Nothobranchius furzeri: one gene and its partner. The protein of the gene in region 2 interacts with the protein of the main gene of each other region in a pairwise test. Links are inferred from orthologs where the notes say so. Each region holds a gene or a part of one and is shown on either strand. Other genes may lie near its edges.

Evidence for each region.
Region 1: the proteins of phaf1 (region 2) and bcas3 interact in binary tests that used the Homo sapiens proteins (3 or more experiments, as listed by UniProt). The link is inferred for Nothobranchius furzeri from reciprocal best matches to the Homo sapiens genes PHAF1 and BCAS3.

Annotation. Positions count from the first base shown.
Region 1 is NC_091753.1:23,578,486-23,587,100, reverse strand, and holds the start of bcas3 (BCAS3 microtubule associated cell migration factor), read left to right. Parts: upstream 1-4,140; 5' UTR 4,141-4,249; exon of another isoform or gene 4,250-4,279; intron 4,280-6,584; 5' UTR 6,585-6,606; coding exon 6,607-6,677; intron 6,678-6,878; coding exon 6,879-6,933; intron 6,934-8,615. UniProt on the Homo sapiens protein: Plays a role in angiogenesis. Participates in the regulation of cell polarity and directional endothelial cell migration by mediating both the activation and recruitment of CDC42 and the reorganization of the actin cytoskeleton at the cell leading edge.
Region 2 is NC_091744.1:80,993,305-81,001,665, forward strand, and holds the start of phaf1 (phagosome assembly factor 1), read left to right. Parts: upstream 1-3,085; 5' UTR 3,086-3,297; intron 3,298-3,380; 5' UTR 3,381-3,523; coding exon 3,524-3,587; intron 3,588-3,657; coding exon 3,658-3,740; intron 3,741-4,473; coding exon 4,474-4,557; intron 4,558-4,643; coding exon 4,644-4,687; intron 4,688-4,925; coding exon 4,926-5,005; intron 5,006-5,084; coding exon 5,085-5,179; intron 5,180-7,840; coding exon 7,841-7,905; intron 7,906-8,027; coding exon 8,028-8,140; intron 8,141-8,248; coding exon 8,249-8,361. UniProt on the Homo sapiens protein: Plays a regulatory role in autophagic activity. In complex with BCAS3, associates with the autophagosome formation site during both non-selective and selective autophagy.

The DNA of each region.
Region 1 (8,615 bases), on a different chromosome or scaffold from region 2:
GGTTTTCTTCATAAAGGGTCTTTGGGCTTTGTTTGATCCCTCACCTGAGACCTGTTTGTCATAGGTAACCCTGCCCAGAGGCAAAACGCCTCAAATAACTTAGCTGCTACGATCCTTGGGTCACTCAAACCCCTCCACCACTGCAAGGTGGCAGCCCATGGAGGGGTTAACCATAATTAATGGAAAATACCAAAATCGACACTGACAGTTTGAGACAGTGGCTCTTAAAAAAAAGTAAACACATCTGTATAATGTGCAGCAATATTTGTAAACATGACAGGAAATGGCATCATACCACCAAAAACATTAAAAGGTGTTACCCTAATAACCCAAGGAGGTAAACTAAAGGTAAGAATTATTTTTAGGTGTGTTTATTAGAGATTTCCCTGCAATCGTTTATCAAGGCGAGGTGCCTGAACCTTTTTCTGGGCTGCCTGAAGGCTTTTTTCCTCACAAAACCACCGCTAGGACACCGAACGATGATAATATCGGCCTTAGCAGTGCCACAAAAACAATTAAACAACCTGTTGCTCCACTTCGCTCTTTCAATTTGGCTGCAGAAGCAATCTATTCCTCATGTCCTGACCCACCCCTGCTCACTCAAGGCCGGATTAACCATGGGCAACTGGGCAATTGCCCAGGGCCCAGGTACTCTTAAGGGCCCAGGGCAGCAAGGGCACGAGCAAAATACTGTATCTGTAATCTTCCGCTTTATATTAAACTAGGGTGACCGTCCGGTTTTCCCCGGACATGTCCACTTTTCACTCTCTGTCCGGGGCGTCTGGACTGGGGGTTCTTGTATTGATGAAAATGTCCGGTTTTTCATCCAGGAGCAGGGATCGAATTATGGGGGAGATGGATATCCTACACATCCAGGGGAGCCGGAAAAAAAGTGTTCTACCTATATTACATCATTTATGGACTCCTTTGAGCAGAGAGCACGTATAGCGATGATCGTTGGTGTTCAGCGCTCCAGGCAGCTGCGTCCAGCGCACGGTCCATTCTCAAAGTGGCGCAACCAAAAAACTATAATTAGCACACGATTGTTAATGTCCGCACATGTTCTCTATTTTCTCTTATTTGTGCCTGAAGCGCTCTGTGACTGTGGAGCTCATCAACTGTGCTGCGGTGATTTCACCTCACTGATGCATCGAAACGCCTCTCCGCTTTGCGGTCAGGAGATCCCTTTGATCTGCTCAAAAATAACTGATGAGGTGAAAAAGTAAGAATCCAGGCAGCAGATTTTCTGAAGACTTTAGAGGAGATGCAGGAAGATGAGAGACAGACAGGACAGGGAACTAATAAAAACAAGAAAACAAAACAAAGTGTTGAAAAGTAAAATGTGGGTAGATTTATCTCCACTACACGTTTTTACCTCTATAAAACAATAAGTTATACACATGTAATATTTATATATCTGATACAATTCAGATCGTCTTCAAAACTCTGTCACACAGCCAGGGCCGTTTCAAGACATTTTGGGGTCCAAGGCAAAATGACCCCCCACCCCCCCATAACTGGGGTCCCCAGAAGCCTCTGTGTAATCCATACCCTCTCCAGGAGAGTTAGTTATACAGTGTTTGTAAAAGCCCCTCAGACATTACTGACATGTTCTAATATTATCAGATGAAAAACTAAATTATCAGACTTCCTGTCTCATCTGCTGCTTTTCTAAACTTGCAAAAAGTAACAAAACCATTTGAAAGCCACTATTTGTGGATTCTCTGAAAGTTTCCATGGAGTGTGTGACAACTTATTTTTTCATTGATCCTATCGTCTAATCTCACAGCTGAAACAAGCATCCTTAATAATCTGTGTACTGGAAGCGTACCAATGTTGTAGTAAAACAAAAGGTATAAAAATTTATTATTAATAAAACCTTGTTGCAGCATTAAAGCAGAAAAATGAGATTTTGCAATAAATATGCAAAATATTTACATATGAATAGTTTTAGAACCCTTTTATTGGCAGAATCTGATATTAATTTAGCTCTTACAAAAAATGGGTCCCAACGTGGTTTGTGTGGCGTTTGCCATAGTGTGATGTCATAGGCACAGATCCCCTATCCTCTTGTTTGGAAATGGAAATATGATCACCCTACATTAAACAAACTGTCCACCCGGGCTTTCGAAATGCACAGAGACGCTTCGCTGCCTATGACTTTGAATGTCAGTTGAGAGTCAGTCTCATGCAGACTGACCAATGAAGAGAGGGCCTCAAGTTAAGACCCTCTCCTCATTGGTCAGCCCACACAAGGTGGGTTAAAGGTTACCCTGAGCGGGTTACGTGATGTCAGGCATTCAAGTATTGAGTATATTTACTGCATATTACAGTAAAATATTCTGTATGTGACCATATTATGGTGATCCTTGGGTCGTGATGATGGGGCCCTTTAATATTGTTGCCCAGGGTACAACAAAGTGTTAATCTGGCCCTGTGCTCACTACTGTTTTAAGCCAGGGGGAAACCCAGATGTGGACTCACCAAGCAGATACTTTCCAGATTCTCATATTTAATGCTTTTCTTACAGCCATGAACTTTTTCTCCTTTTAGACATAAATTGTTCAACTGTTACCTGCATAGACATCAATTTGATGTCTGTGGTTACTGGCAGCTTGTTCAAATAGAAGGTCGGCTCTGATTGGTTCTTTTCTCGTCTAGCCCCACCTGTTCGATGTGCTGATTGACAGTGACTCCCATTTCTTCCTGTTGCACATTGAAGCTCTGCTAAAAACATTTTTGAGATCCAACCACGCAAAATAATATTTTTGACCATTTTTCAAGTGGTCTTCTACTTTTGATCTGGACTATACTGTATGGATAGATTACAGACAGTGTTTTAGGGATAGGGTGTTAGACCATGGTGGAATTTTAGCAATTAAATCCTCAGAAACAAAAACTTGCATTTGAGACATGGAATGCCACCCCTCTGTTCCAGGTGAGAGGCTGAGGGCCAAGGAGGGCTTCTTGATTGCACCAAAAATATAATCCTGTATTTTGAGAAGCAGCTCAACGAACTAAAAGGGAGCTTCCCTGTGCTTTTGGAGCAGCCCATAGGGAATGGTTTCTGGGTTCAAGGTTCTGGTTCTGGAGAAATCCTTGGGCTAAATTATTTCCCCAGTCCGTTCCTGACGTCAGACAGCAGCTCACAGTCCTTTATGATAGACTTGGGAGTTGGGACATCTGCTAGATGGCACTCTAACTAGGAAATCCAGAGTCCTGCTGCTCAGGTGGGAAATTAAAGTGTGACCTCGATGGGTGTGACTGAATGGAGTGGCCCACCTGGTCTGAACCAGAGATGTGCTTTATATTTGGACATCTCTGCTAGTGTCAGAACATTATGTTCTAACTCAAGGATGCCCATTAGTACATGTGGTGGGAAGGGTCGCAGGTCAAAGATTGATTAGCTGCATCATCACACCTGCAACCAAATGTTTTGGAAAACGGATTGGAGTCACATGATCACCACTTGGTGGTGAGCTTAAGCCAAAAGCAGGGGAAGATGTCCGGTAGACCTGGTAGGCACAAATGTATAATAGCGGTCTGCTGGGAACCCCTGGTGGAGGAATCTGGAAACATTTTTTTCAGCACTCACTTCCAACAGAGACTTGATCACAACCTCATGGGGTGAGCAGATCCACACCAGTAAAATGTGGGACTTATAACTCTGAAAGGTTGTTGTAATTTAACATTCAACCCCAAAAGTACACACGTTATTAAAATCCCAAGTAATAAAGCATGTTTAAATGCATTACAATTCCATTTCTACTTTAACTGTCTTTATGTTGTGTTTTTGCCATTAACAAACTTTCACTATTCATTTCTCTATTACATTTTTATGTGTGTGCAGGTTTTTTTTCTCTTCATTTGTAAAATTGTCAAAATAAACTTGTAAAAATAAAAATGACTAAAAAATACCTCTAGTCATTTATTTTAGCAAATACATAAAATGTAGATTTTATTTTATTAATTAAACAAATCAAATTAATTTCATTTGGTCTCATGGAAAATTAAATTAAATATTACTTTGTTTTACTTTTCTAAAATATATATTTCAGATTTTTTTTGTAAAACCCTTCAGTGACGTAATCCGGAATCCCGCCCTTGCTGTAACTTGATTGGATCGATCCTTTGGTTTCTGGGCTCTGATTGGCTTGTAATTACAAAACACAGTTCCGCAAAACCTGTGTTTGTGTTGTGACTGTTTTGTGGGAGACAGGTCTGCAGACCAGCTGGCGTCCTGAAACAAGTAGGCTGCCTGCCACTCTTCTGTGCTTCGGTTCGTTTCAGCACCTGTTTGAACGTGCTATTGAGATCCAACACAGTTCTTTTCTAGGCTTTAACCATGTCGGGTCAACACTACTGATTATATTTACCAGCTAGCTGCGTGGCTAGGTGTTAGCATCGGGGTCCCGCTGTAAGTTTAGCTTTGGCTAGCACCTTTTGAGAGACGTGTCTCATTGTTTACCGGAGGCTTCCGTGCCGAGACAACAGTAATAGCGCGCGAGTTCGGTCTGTTGTTATACGTCATCGTTGTAGACATATAGCCTTATCTCCTGTTGGTGGTGGTGTAGGGACCTTAGGTGGAGACTCGTGTCCTCCGTCCACACGGTCTCCTCCTTAGAGCTGAGACTTTATGATAAAACCAGCCTGGTGTCCCCAGGAGTTTACATAGTTTTGAAGGCTGGTTAAATGCTTAATTAATGACGCGCTGCTTCTGGAGGAAGCCTGGACGTTTCTGGTGTTACATCGAGTTTCGTCCCCCTGTAGAGCAGGTCCTCCTTCTGTGGTGGACTTACAGTCATCTGGTCCTCCTGATTAAGTGTTCAACTTGTCAATAGAAGAACGAGCATCTGAGGATAAAATACACACAACAGCGAGCTAGCTGTGAGCTAATTTCTGTTATGGTGACATTTTGACACCAGGATCACGTGTCTTCTACATCATAATCATGTAGGATCTGCCTGATGTGAAGCCACGCACAACATCACATGTGTGCCATGTTCTCGTTGTCTTGGACTGAAAAGAATTCTCTGCTTGGAACCTGGAAATGGAGGAAGAACGACCCTCTCTAGTAACTTAAATTGTAAGGCACCTGACATATTTATGGATGCAGACCTCCACCAGCATGAGAGGTGGACCCAGAGGAAGGACAGCAAGTTCTTCCCCAAATGCGTGTTTTGCTTTAAACATATAAATACCAGCCTCTCAGAAGAGGGGCTCGGAGACCAGGACTTCCTCGTTCTGTGCAGTCTGTCATTTGTAAGGCTGTAAAACGAAGATACCCTGAGATTAAAGCGAGTCTCTGAGAGAGAGAGCGAACCCCTCCTAATAAACAGGTTTAATACAGACAGAACCAGAGTCATGGAGGAACTCCATTCAGCTGTTTGTATTTGGATAGAATCAGTTCAGCATACAGTAATGACACAAATGATCTCTGTCTCTCAGGAGCATTTTGTTTTATAATAAACCTTTCTTTTAGCATGAAATACAAAGCTTATATTTACAAAGATTATTGAGAGCGTAACGGGAAATTATCCTGAAAATAATCAGTAAAGACATTAATCTTGACTGCAATATATTATAGCATAATAATATCATGAGGATCCAATCTGAGGCTGCATACTAGCACAGTCATTAGCACAATGGGAAGGTCGCTGGTTTCAATCCCAGCTGTGGCCTTTCTGCATGGAGCTAGCCTGTTCTCCATATGCAAGTGTGGCTTCTCTCTGGGATTTCCACACTCAGACCAAAAACATTTCAGGTTAACTGGAGACTCTAAATGTGAGTGAGTTTCCTGATTTTATATTTTGACCTTTAGTTTTAGTTTTGTTTTTTCTTTCATCAGATCAGACAGCAGATGGTTTTCTGTCTCCACTGGTTACCTGTTAAGTTCAGGATCATTTTCAAACTCCTTCTTTTCCACCATCAACAATGTTGCGCCTCCATGTTTTTGGGGCATTGTCAACATTGCTGCCTCCTCTCGTTCCCTCCAATCTTCCTCGTTGTTCCCTCTTCCCGCCTCGTCACTCTGGGAGGTAGAGCCTTTGCCTGTTCTGCCCCTAAACTCTGGAACTCATTGCCGCCTGACATCCGTAACCTTGACTCTCTCCCACTTTTTAAATCCAGAATAAAAACGTGCATGTTTAGGGCAGCATTATTATTATTATTATTACTAATATCGTTATTATTGTTACTATCCTTATGTCTCCCTTTAACAGACCTCTACTCTGAACATCAGACTGTGTCACTGGGACCTGACACTTTAGCATGCTTTTCAGGATCTCTACTGACATCTCTCCTGTTGTAGACACATTTCTTTTTAGATAACAGGATAAAGGTTTTATAATGTGAATTAAATTTTTGTCAGAGCAAAGCTAAACATCATTATCTGTATACACCCAGACTTTATGCAAGAGTTTCTTTTTATTGTGACTGAAGTGAGTTTAAAAACAAAGTTAAAGCTTCTGCTCAGAGAAGAGATTGTTTCATGGGACAGTGTTCTTTTGTTTCTGAGACAGGTTAGACCAAATCCCAGAAATCTGACTTTTACTGACCCTGCTAACCTCATGGTATCTCTTCAGGTGACAAACCAGTCGGAGAAAAATGGCGTCGGACTCTCCTCGCAGACCGAGCCGCTGTGCTGGAGGAGTTCTGGTGCGAGCACAAGCTGCAACGTAAGAGCGTGAACCTGCTGTGCATGTTCTTAGAAAGTCAGATTGATGATTCCATAACTGCATGTGAGCTACAGATGAGCTATCAGCCCTTTGTCCCTGATGACAGAAGATAAGAACTGCTTCGTACTAAACGTTGATCCCTTTAACTTTATTGTGATACTTTGTGGGTTTCCTTTTGACATGGATGTCCTGTTTCCATAGGGAGCAGTCATACATGGAAAGTGTTGTCACGTTTCTACAGGATGTGGTTCCACAGGTACGTCTTATTTAGATACAGGCGACAAATGCACAGGTGAGAATCTTTAAAGGGGCGTGGGTTAAAACGTGTGCAAAAGCAACACTCAATAAATTTCCTACTTCTCCCTCCTACTGGTTGAAAGCAGAAATGCAACTGTTGTAAACAACTCTGCCGCAGTCCACTGTAGCTAGCACTAACAATGGGCTATTGCTAACATGAGCCAGCTGATACTAAATAAGCCACGAAGTAAAAAGATCCACACTGTTAAACAAAAACAGTTATTACGTACAAGTCCAGTAACAACAAAGCTAGGTCACCATCAGTCTGACTTCGTAGCCTCATTTAGCTCCCTCAAGCTAGTGTAGGTCGTGCCGATGATCACTTTGGTTTTGGATCTTTGCTTCATCCCCAAAGTCATTACTCTCTTACCTTTAGGCTCAACCATGATGCCAACAAAAAAGCTGAATTCTTCTTCTGTCTGATTTTTTTTATTGACGACCAGTGAACTGAAAAAGCTAATTGCTAGTCTTTATATTAGCTAACAGCACAGTACACATCTATTATTATTATTATTATTATTATTATTATTATTATTATATAAAAACTATTTACCAGCAAATGTTGCTGCACATTAGTGTGGGAATAGGTCAAAGGTCAATTCCAATCAATCTGTAGTCCTTTATTCTACAGGGGGAAAGATTATTCATTAGTAGAAAACATTCCACCCAGCTGATGATCCAGGTTTTCTCCAAGGTCAGAGGTCAAAGCTTAGAGAAATGACCAAAATCTTCATAAAAACAAGAGCTAATTTAAAGATTAAAGGTCACAGCTCAGCTTAGGTTGGTTTGATCTTAGCCACCCACTGGCCTTCTGGAACATTGTGGTAGATTTTTACCCACAATGCCTTGGTTATTCTGACTGTCAACAAGGGGGTGGACGCTGATAGTTTGGCTTGGTTCTGCAGCTATGGGGCACCATGAACTCCTCTGGCTAAGTGTCCCAGAGTCTTACGTGAGACCATCTGACAGCTGGAGCTTGGACCAAACCGGGTCATGAAACAGAGCCATGATCCAAACACAGTAGCAGACCTAGAACAGAATCAAAGAGATGTGATGCTCCAGGCAGACCCAGGGTTCTAGATTTTCAACTAGTCCTTGTTGCTGTTTTGAAACCATCTGGCTAAAGGGATGGGCCAAGTGGACCTGGAGCCAGATGCTTCCTGTTAGATTCTGTAGCGTTAGCATACTGAGCACACCTTGTTAGAAAACAGATATATTTGTCAAAAACAAACAAGTGAGCAAAACTAAAGACAATAAAAAAATCCTCTATTTTAGTACATGCATTTTTTTGAACAGTTGCAAAATACTTTTTCCTCTAAAGTAATTGGCTGATTGTTGCATAGAGTTAAATAGAGAGCCTGTGGGGAGAGAACATGGGTCTAATCTGTCCCTACTTCCGTTGCTTGCGTATGATTTAATTTAAACATGAATGAATGAAAGCCCCTTTTTTCCCAAGCAGCAAACGTCGCTGGGTCAGTCCCAGCACAGAACGAGTTACCAGTGGTGGCTGACACCCAGCAGTCTCAGCAACTTTGTTCACAGAGTTGAAATTAAGTCATTCATGAACAAATATGAATGATAATGCCAAGAGGGGGCCATAAGATAAGACTTTATTGATGCTGCAGTGGGGACATTTGTGCA
Region 2 (8,361 bases):
AGGAAAGGTCATATCATCACCAAAACCCATTAAGGTTCATAATCTTGTGATCATTAATGTTAGAAAATATGAGAAGATTTGTATGAAAACTTTTCAAGATACTTTTATTTTTACTTTGGTCTGATGATTTGAGTTTGGCCTGATGGTGGCGATAGAGAACAGGTCAGCTTTCACTTTCAACGGCTTATTTATGTATTTTACATAAATACATACAATGTATTCAAATTTTACATAGAAAACCGTAGTTTCTGGTCAGCAGAGGGAAACAGAGTGCTGTCCAATGTGAAGCTGCTAAAGATTTTGTGAAAAATCACTGAAACCAGTTTTAAAGCTATAGCTAAAAGTGTTAACTCTTTAGCATCGCTTTAATAAACCTTTAAAAATTGTGCCATTTTTTTGTTGTTTTGATTTTAGAAATTGTATTTCTCTTTTAAAGCTGTTACAGCAAATCTACAAACAAGCTTTGAACACAAACACGGCCATGGCACACTTTTATAGGGACTCTAGTAGTTAGTCCTAACGTAGAAGTGGTAGCAGCCGACTGTTTCTCCTTCTCTGATATTATTGAGCTGAGAAAATCACACCAGTGGCGTTCTGTTGATAAATACGTGAGTGTGTTTTGAATGCAGGTCCCTGGGAAGTGCAGTGGTTTGGCTAGTCCGACATCCGGATGATCCAATAATTGCTTTAGGTCTGAAACGTGTTATTGGCAAAGGATTTTAGATAAACGCCAAAAAACCACTTTATTGAATTTTTTTAATCTCCACAATTTATTTATTATGTTAGAACATTTTTAAAAGGTATGAAAAAATGTTTTAAGTGTCGGTCGCGAACGAGCCGGCTCTTTGAAGTGAACGACGGGAGCCGGTGTTCTGGGAATTTCTCCTACCCGGTAAACCATCCTACCCGTTGTTCCTGAGCATGTGCGTGCATGCGTACAACACAAAAAGGGAATGCTACTCTGTTGTCATATTTGCAGGAAAATAGGTAAGTTGTAAGTATTAGTACTTTTTATTGACGTTGATACTTGATTTTTTGGGTAAGGGTTAGGGTTAGGGTTTGTGTCATCTAAAACACCGTAAAATTATCCTATGGGTAGGACGTTTTCTCAGAACACCGGCTCGTCATTGGGAGCCGTCCCCTGTTGTTTTAGTGAAAGCCACAGGCGATTGGTCAACATGTGTAACTGCGTGTCCAGACTGTCCATACACAGAGCAGTAGGGGCGAGGAAGAGGGAGGATCACTCAGACACACAGCAGAGCACATGTGGGAGGAGAGGGAATGAGGAGGAAAAAGGCGAGCGAGAGAGTACGACGAAGACGGTGAAAAAATGAGCGCCAGCAGTCGGAAAGTGGAGATTTCTGAAAGTGTTCAGTTTTTAAATCCATAGAAATGATAAATATTTGATATATTGCATTTTTTTTACATTAGTAAATCATTTTACATATAGTTTTGCATTATTTTGGTTATATATGTAATCTACGCAACAGAAAATCTGAGGAGCCACTTGGGAGCCGAAAGAGCCGACTCTTTTTGGTGAGCTGAGCCAAAAGAACTGGCTCTTTCCATCACTAGAAATGAGTGTGGTGTGTTCGTGTTCGTGTGTGATCCGAAAGGGAGCTGCAGACGCTAAACACGTGAAAAAGAAAGTTGACCACTTTGTGGATTTTGCGGATTAGAACGTAACTCACGTGACTAAGGACCACTGTACCGAGCACAGATTTGACCAACAAGCATCAACCTTTTCAGACAGAGGGAACAAAGAGCAACAATCGAATCGGTCTTCCTTTTCTGACACTCCAAAAGTGTTGCTGCTCTGGAATTGTGCTGATGAAACTGCATCGTCTCGTATCTCCAACTGTTCCACAACATTTCCCTGCAGGTGCACATGTCTGAGGTGTGTAAAGTTACCACCCTTGTTCTAGTAAATAAATGTTACACCTAAGCGGTGGCAGAGTTCATACAGCTGGCGCCGTCTGCTGGATAGGTAGCGCAATATCAGCCATATCGGCCGTCTTTTTGGCCGATAGCCAATACTGTTAATGACCCCGATATCGGCCGACCGATATATCGGCCGGCCGATATATCGGTCGGGCCCTACTGCGCACACTTGGACCACCGGAGGCGCTCATTGCTTCTTCATATATTTCACTGAAATTGCCCCTCTCTTGTTCAACATTGTCACAAAACTCATTCAGCCTAGCCATGCAGAATTGTACATCCAATGATTTGGTCTGCAGTATTCCAAAAAGCACAGCAGCATACTCAAAAAGCCCGTTGAATGTGTTGAGAAAAAAAAGTAAACTCAAAATCCTCCAGCCGTGCGTTAAATCCATCTGCAGAAAGCACGGTGCCCTCATCATACTTGTCGTGGTGGTCTAATATGTGACTCGCTTCTCAAAGACAGCATTTACCAACACTGGATTCCTGTGCATCCCCCCAAGCACTGCTGGACTGACCATAGGGCATAGCGGGCAACTTTCTTTCTTTCTTTCTTTCTAGTTAGTTAGTTAGTTAGTTAGTTAGTTGGTTGGTTGTTTAGTAATAACTGCATTGACCGTGGTTTTAACATCGACATATAAATATTTTTAAAAAATGATATGACGTATGTTGTGACGTGACCACGTAGCGCTGTACGTGCTCGGAGCGCAGGAAGTTGAACTATCAGCTGATCTTGCTGGCTGTTGTTGATATCTTGAAGTTGCCGTCGTGTTTGTTCGACTGCCGCGTCGCTCTTATCGCCGCTCGACACCGGAGAGCCGTTAACGGTCGGGGCACGGACGCGTGTACCGGGCCGGGACGTGCTGCGTGTTTCTCAGGGGTGCAGGAGCTAGCTGTCGCTTCTGCTCGGAGCTGAAGAAAAGCAGCAACGGAAGCCGACGGAGGCTCTTTGTTTGAGTCGTGACGTTGTGAAGTGTAACATCAACTCTTCCCGTGTTAAATTCGTTTTTATGTCGGCTTGTTTGTTGTTTATCTTTATTCTGCACAGCTAGCCGTGCGGCTAAGCGCTCGCTAGCATTAGCTTGTTTGTGTGGAGCTCACCGCGCGGCTCGAGAGGAAACATAACGGAGACTCGGAGAAGGAAGCTCGGTGTTTGTCTAGAGCTGAGGTGGGGTTCACGTGCGGTGGTACGAAGTGAACAGCTGTTTCTTATACGCTCATCTGCGCCTGTTCAGCTTGTTTTATCGGTTTTCAAAGCAAACAAACATTTGATCGATGAACCGCTGGCTGTGTGTTTACTGACAGCTGTTGAAGCCCCCCCTCCATGCGGAGTGTCTTCAGATTTAACCTGTCCGGGTAGGAACTGGATGCTTTTAGGCCTTTCATACCTCTGTTCTGGTGCAGTTTTATGACCTGAGATAAATAGGTGTGACTTACAGGTAAACCGGCTGTCAAATAAATCTGACGTGGATAGATGTGACCTGAAATAGCCCCCTGAGGTGCTGTGATCAGGGAGAGGCAGCAGGTAGAGGGTCCCTTTGAGTCTTGAGGTGTGGTGAGCCGCCCCCCCCACTACTGACCAATGCTGGATCTGGAGGTGGTCCCTGAGAGATCACTAGGAAATGAGCAATGGGAATTCGCCTTAGGTGAGCGGCACACACTCATCATCTTTAAATGAAAGACGATGAATCTGTGTGACTTGGTTTCTGTGTGCAGGGATGCCATTTTCCCAGGCCATCTGTATCCTCCAGAAACACTGCCGTATCATCAAAAATGTTCAGGTGCTTTACAGCGAACAGGTAAACACCCGCTCCCACTCGTCTCACAAATGTTAGTCCGCAGGTCGAGGTCTGGTTGTAGGTGAAACATCAAAGGTGTGTGTGTGTGTGAATGTGTGACGTGATAGTGCTGCAGCAGGGACTCGCACTGCTCTGTGTGACGCGAGTCAGTTTAGATTATGTGGTGTGTACAAGTCTTTATTTTGTTGTGTGAGCCCAGCATTCTGGACCAGGCTGATGAGCAGCTCTAGAGAACATCTGGACAACCATCACATTTGCTTGTAATTTACTGTCTCATCCGCTGAACTCTGTCCTCCTTCCTTTGGACAGTCATCGTTTTGGATCGGCCCACTTGTCGCATGAACAGCTGCTATTTGGTTAAGTTGTCTGTTTGGAGCCATAGTCGTCTATAAGCCAGTTTAAATGAGCTCATTTGTATCAAAATGGGTATAAAACCAGCCAACATCACATTAAAGGGACCGTCTGGCTGCCGAGAGGTACTCTAAAGAGGACGAAGACTTACGCACACCACTGAACAGAGCAGAGATCATTTGAAGTCATGATCCTGGCACCTCCTCTCCTCTAAAGAGCAAGACTCTCCTTTTCCAACAACCTAGTTAGCCGGTTTGGGTCTGGTTAGAGACGTCAGAACATCAGTCAGCTTGTCTTGGAACAGTGTGATCCAGGCTCGGGCTGATCTGAGCTCTGCCTGTCTGACTTTTTTAATTACAGACATCTTTTATTCTCTCTCCAGACGCCGCTCAGTCATGACCTCATACTGAACTTGACCCAAGATGGGATTAAGCTGCTGTTTGATGCCACAACCCAGAGACTCAAGGTGACAGTGGATCGTTACCATAACAACACCAGCTTCACCCTCTGACCCTAACGAAGAAGCACTGTTTTTTTGTTTTTACCTGGCAGGTGGTTGAAGTGTATGATCTGAGCAAAGTCAAATTGAAATACTGGTGAGTAGAAACCCGTCCATTAGGATTTATCTGGTATCTGAGCTGAACCGAGTCCGTTTCCTTCGGACGGACGGGCCTTCCGCTGCTCAGCCAATCACACTAACTCAGTCTGCTGCGGTGATGCGTTTGTTGTTGGTGTCCCTCTACCTGTGGAGTCCAGCTCATGTTGCTCTCTGTAACAGCCCGTAACACTGTTGAAATTAGGCTGTGTGTGTGTGTGTGTGTGTGTGTGTTTTAGTGGGGTCCATTTCAACTCCCAGGCCATCGCTCCTACCATAGAGCAGATAGATCAGTCATTTGGAGCTACGCACCCTGGAGGTACGTCGCAGAAACCTCACTAGCCAGCGCGTTGCCTTTACTGTGACTGAAGCTCCTCCTTCTGCTCCTCTCCACCCAGTCTACAATGCTGCAGAGCAGCTGTTCCATCTCAACTTCAGAGGACTGTCCTTCTCCTTTCAGCTGGACTCGTGGAACGAAGCTCCGAAGTACGAGGTGAGAGGAGCTAATCAGTTGTTTCCTCTCACCTGAGGGAACGTCGCTCGCATCCTGGTGAATTATGTGATTGACCTTCATGCAGACTGAGGTTCTTAGATGTTGCAGACGCCTGCAGCTTCAGCTCTTAAGGCTAGTTTATACTTCTGCATCGGTGCGGAGGCGCGCTACGCCATTATTCGTCGTTGCAAGGGCTTCAGCAGGCTCACAAGGACAGGCGGCGTAGAGCCCGCCTTTCTAAATATCCGTCGAAAGCAACAGAGACCGCAAGCCTGTGATTGGTCAGGACACCATCAGTGTTCATTTTGTTGACTAAATATTTTCGTTACGAATGAATGAATGAATTTTTGCTGACTGGAACGAAACAGAAACTTCCATGCTTTCGTTCTTTTTAAAACACAGAAACAGTTTTGTTGACCTGTTTTGTAGCTACGTTTCGCCGGCTGCCGGCGAAACGTAGCTACAAAACAGGTCAACAAAACTGTTTCTGTGTTTTAAAAAGAACGAAAGCATGGTATTAGAACCACGACACAGCAAGAACACACCTAAGAAACAGAAACTTACACACATAATAAAGACTAAATTATGATAAATATTAAGCGACACTTTCCTAACCCTAACCAACAACTGACCGAATCAAAAATCCAATCAGAAAATGGAAAAGGCGGGAATAGACGAGAAAAGAACCAATCCGAGTCTGGAGCCAACCAGACGTCATTAAAGAGCAAGTCAACACCTACCAGAGTCTAACTCCACTCCCACTTCATGTTTGAAAAACGCAACAAATGCTGTTGCCTGGCAGACCAAGAAGGCGGAGCTGCTAACAAATACACACACACACACACACACACACACACACAGGCTCACGACTGCACTGTGACATCATAATGTATCAGTTAGCCAATAGCGGTGGCAGATTTAAATTAAAATACAGTGCAGAGTTTTTACCTGACAACGGCACAACACTGCCAGTTTTAGGCAGAATATTTAAATTTTAACTAAGATGCACTGAAATGCCAAATTATTGACGACACGTGTCTGCAGCACGATTAGACACTCGTTTATTTAGTTTATCAGCAAAAAAAAGTTTATTTGGGGGTGACTTGCTCTTTAATGTTTATGCCAGTAAACGTTACCGTGGATACAGAAAGTATTCAGACCCCCGTCTCTCTGTTACATTGCTGCTGTTTGCTAAAATCAGTCAAATCTGTTTTCCTCGTTAATGCACACACAGCACCCATCATGACAGAAAAACACAGACTTCTAGAAACTTCTGCAGACTTATTAGAAAAGACAAACTGAAATATTACATGGTCCCAAGTTTTCTGGCCCTTTGCTGTTACGCTCGTATATAAAATATATGTAAGATATAAAAGTTGAGGTGGTCGCTCCTTCCAGACCAACGATCTCCTTTATCCTAACGTAGCGTTGACCTTCTGGACAAACGGCCCTAAACCGTTAATTTTCTTATTTTTAACTCCTAATTTGTAATCTTTTGTCTGTTGATGACATTTTATGATTTAATGACTATTTTTTTCTGATGTTAATCTATTTCATTATGATTTCATGACTTTGTTTTATTTAGTTTTGATCTATGTGAAGCACTTTTTGATTCTATGTCTGTGATGAGTGTGTAGAAATAACATTTACTCACATATATTTAACTTGGGTGCTTTCCATTTCTTCTGATCATCATTGAGATGGTCCTACACCTTCATTGGAGTCCAGCTGTGCTTGACTGTGACTGGACTGGGTTAGGAAAGCCACACCTGTCTATAACAGACCTTACAGCTCACCATGCATGTCGGAGCTGATGAGAATCATGAGGTCAGGGGAACTGCCTGAAGGGCTCAGAGACAGAATTGTGGCAAGGCACAGATCTGGTCAATGTTACAAAACCATCTCCGCTGCTCAGTGGCCTTCGTGATCCTCGAATGGGAGACATTTGGGACGACCAGAACCCTCCAGGCCGTCCAGCCAAACTGGGCTACTGGGGGAGAAGAGCCTTGGTGAGAGAGGTAAAGAAGAACCCAAAGATCACTGTGGTGTTCTCAAATGAAGACGTTTGTAGAATAAGATTCTCTGGTCTGATGAGACCAAGGTAGAACTTTTTGGCCTTAATCAATCAATCAATCAAAGCTTTATTTATAAAGCGCCTTCCACAACCCTGTCAGGAAGCCCAAGGCGCTGAACATGGTACAACATTAATTCTACGTGGTATGTGTGGACACACCCAGGCACTTTACTTTACTTGCATTTAAACTGTAATCCTCTCCTGTCCCACCTGAAATGAATCTTGAGATACGGTGGGCCGTAAGGGACACGCCATAGCCGGGACAGGACGATCGTCGCAGCTCTGTGACATCATCGGCCTTTGAAGGATGAATTCGGACACGGCGTTTCGTTAGACCCAGGATGGGAACCGCTGGTGCTACAGGAGTAAACCAACAAACTGGATTATATCGCTGGAGATCCGGTGCAGCAGTACATCTAATGTTATTTTACAAACTCATCTTTTATGTTAAAGAAGAAATCTGAACATTTCTGCAGAAATAACTGGTTAGCTAGTCAACACCGAAGGCTGTAGACTCCTATTTCTCTGAACAGAGGCTGTTCTAGAAGCTATTTCCTTTAACTCATTTTTTTTTCCTGTTTCCTCAGATTCCTCATGGAGCCATGGTCAAAAGGATGCACATCTACACTGGAAACAACCTGCAGGAAACCAGGTGATGCTGATAATCCCACAGCTCCTGCGCTGCTGCATCAGACCCTAATCCTAATCCAATGTTTTTGTGGCTTTAAACATATGAATAACTAATCAGAAGCTCTGGTCTCAAACCTCCTTCAGAGCTCCTGCCATGCCGTTAGCTTGTTTCCTGGGAAACATCTATGCAGATTGTGTGGACGTCTTGAGAGATGGAACGGGTCCTCTGGGGCTTAAGCTCCGCCTTCTCACTGCAGGTAATCTTGCTGTCCTATCACGTTCTGACCCGTCCAGACTACAGCAGCAGGCGGCTGACCTTCCTTCCTCCAGCTGATTTCTATTCCCGCTGCTTGTTGTGGTTCCAGGTTCTGGTCTTGGTGTGATGGCCGACGCCAAAGTCCGGTTTCTGGAGAGGAGCATCTTCTTTGGAGATTCCTGCCAGGATGTTCTGGGTGCTTTGGGCTCGCCACATAAAGTC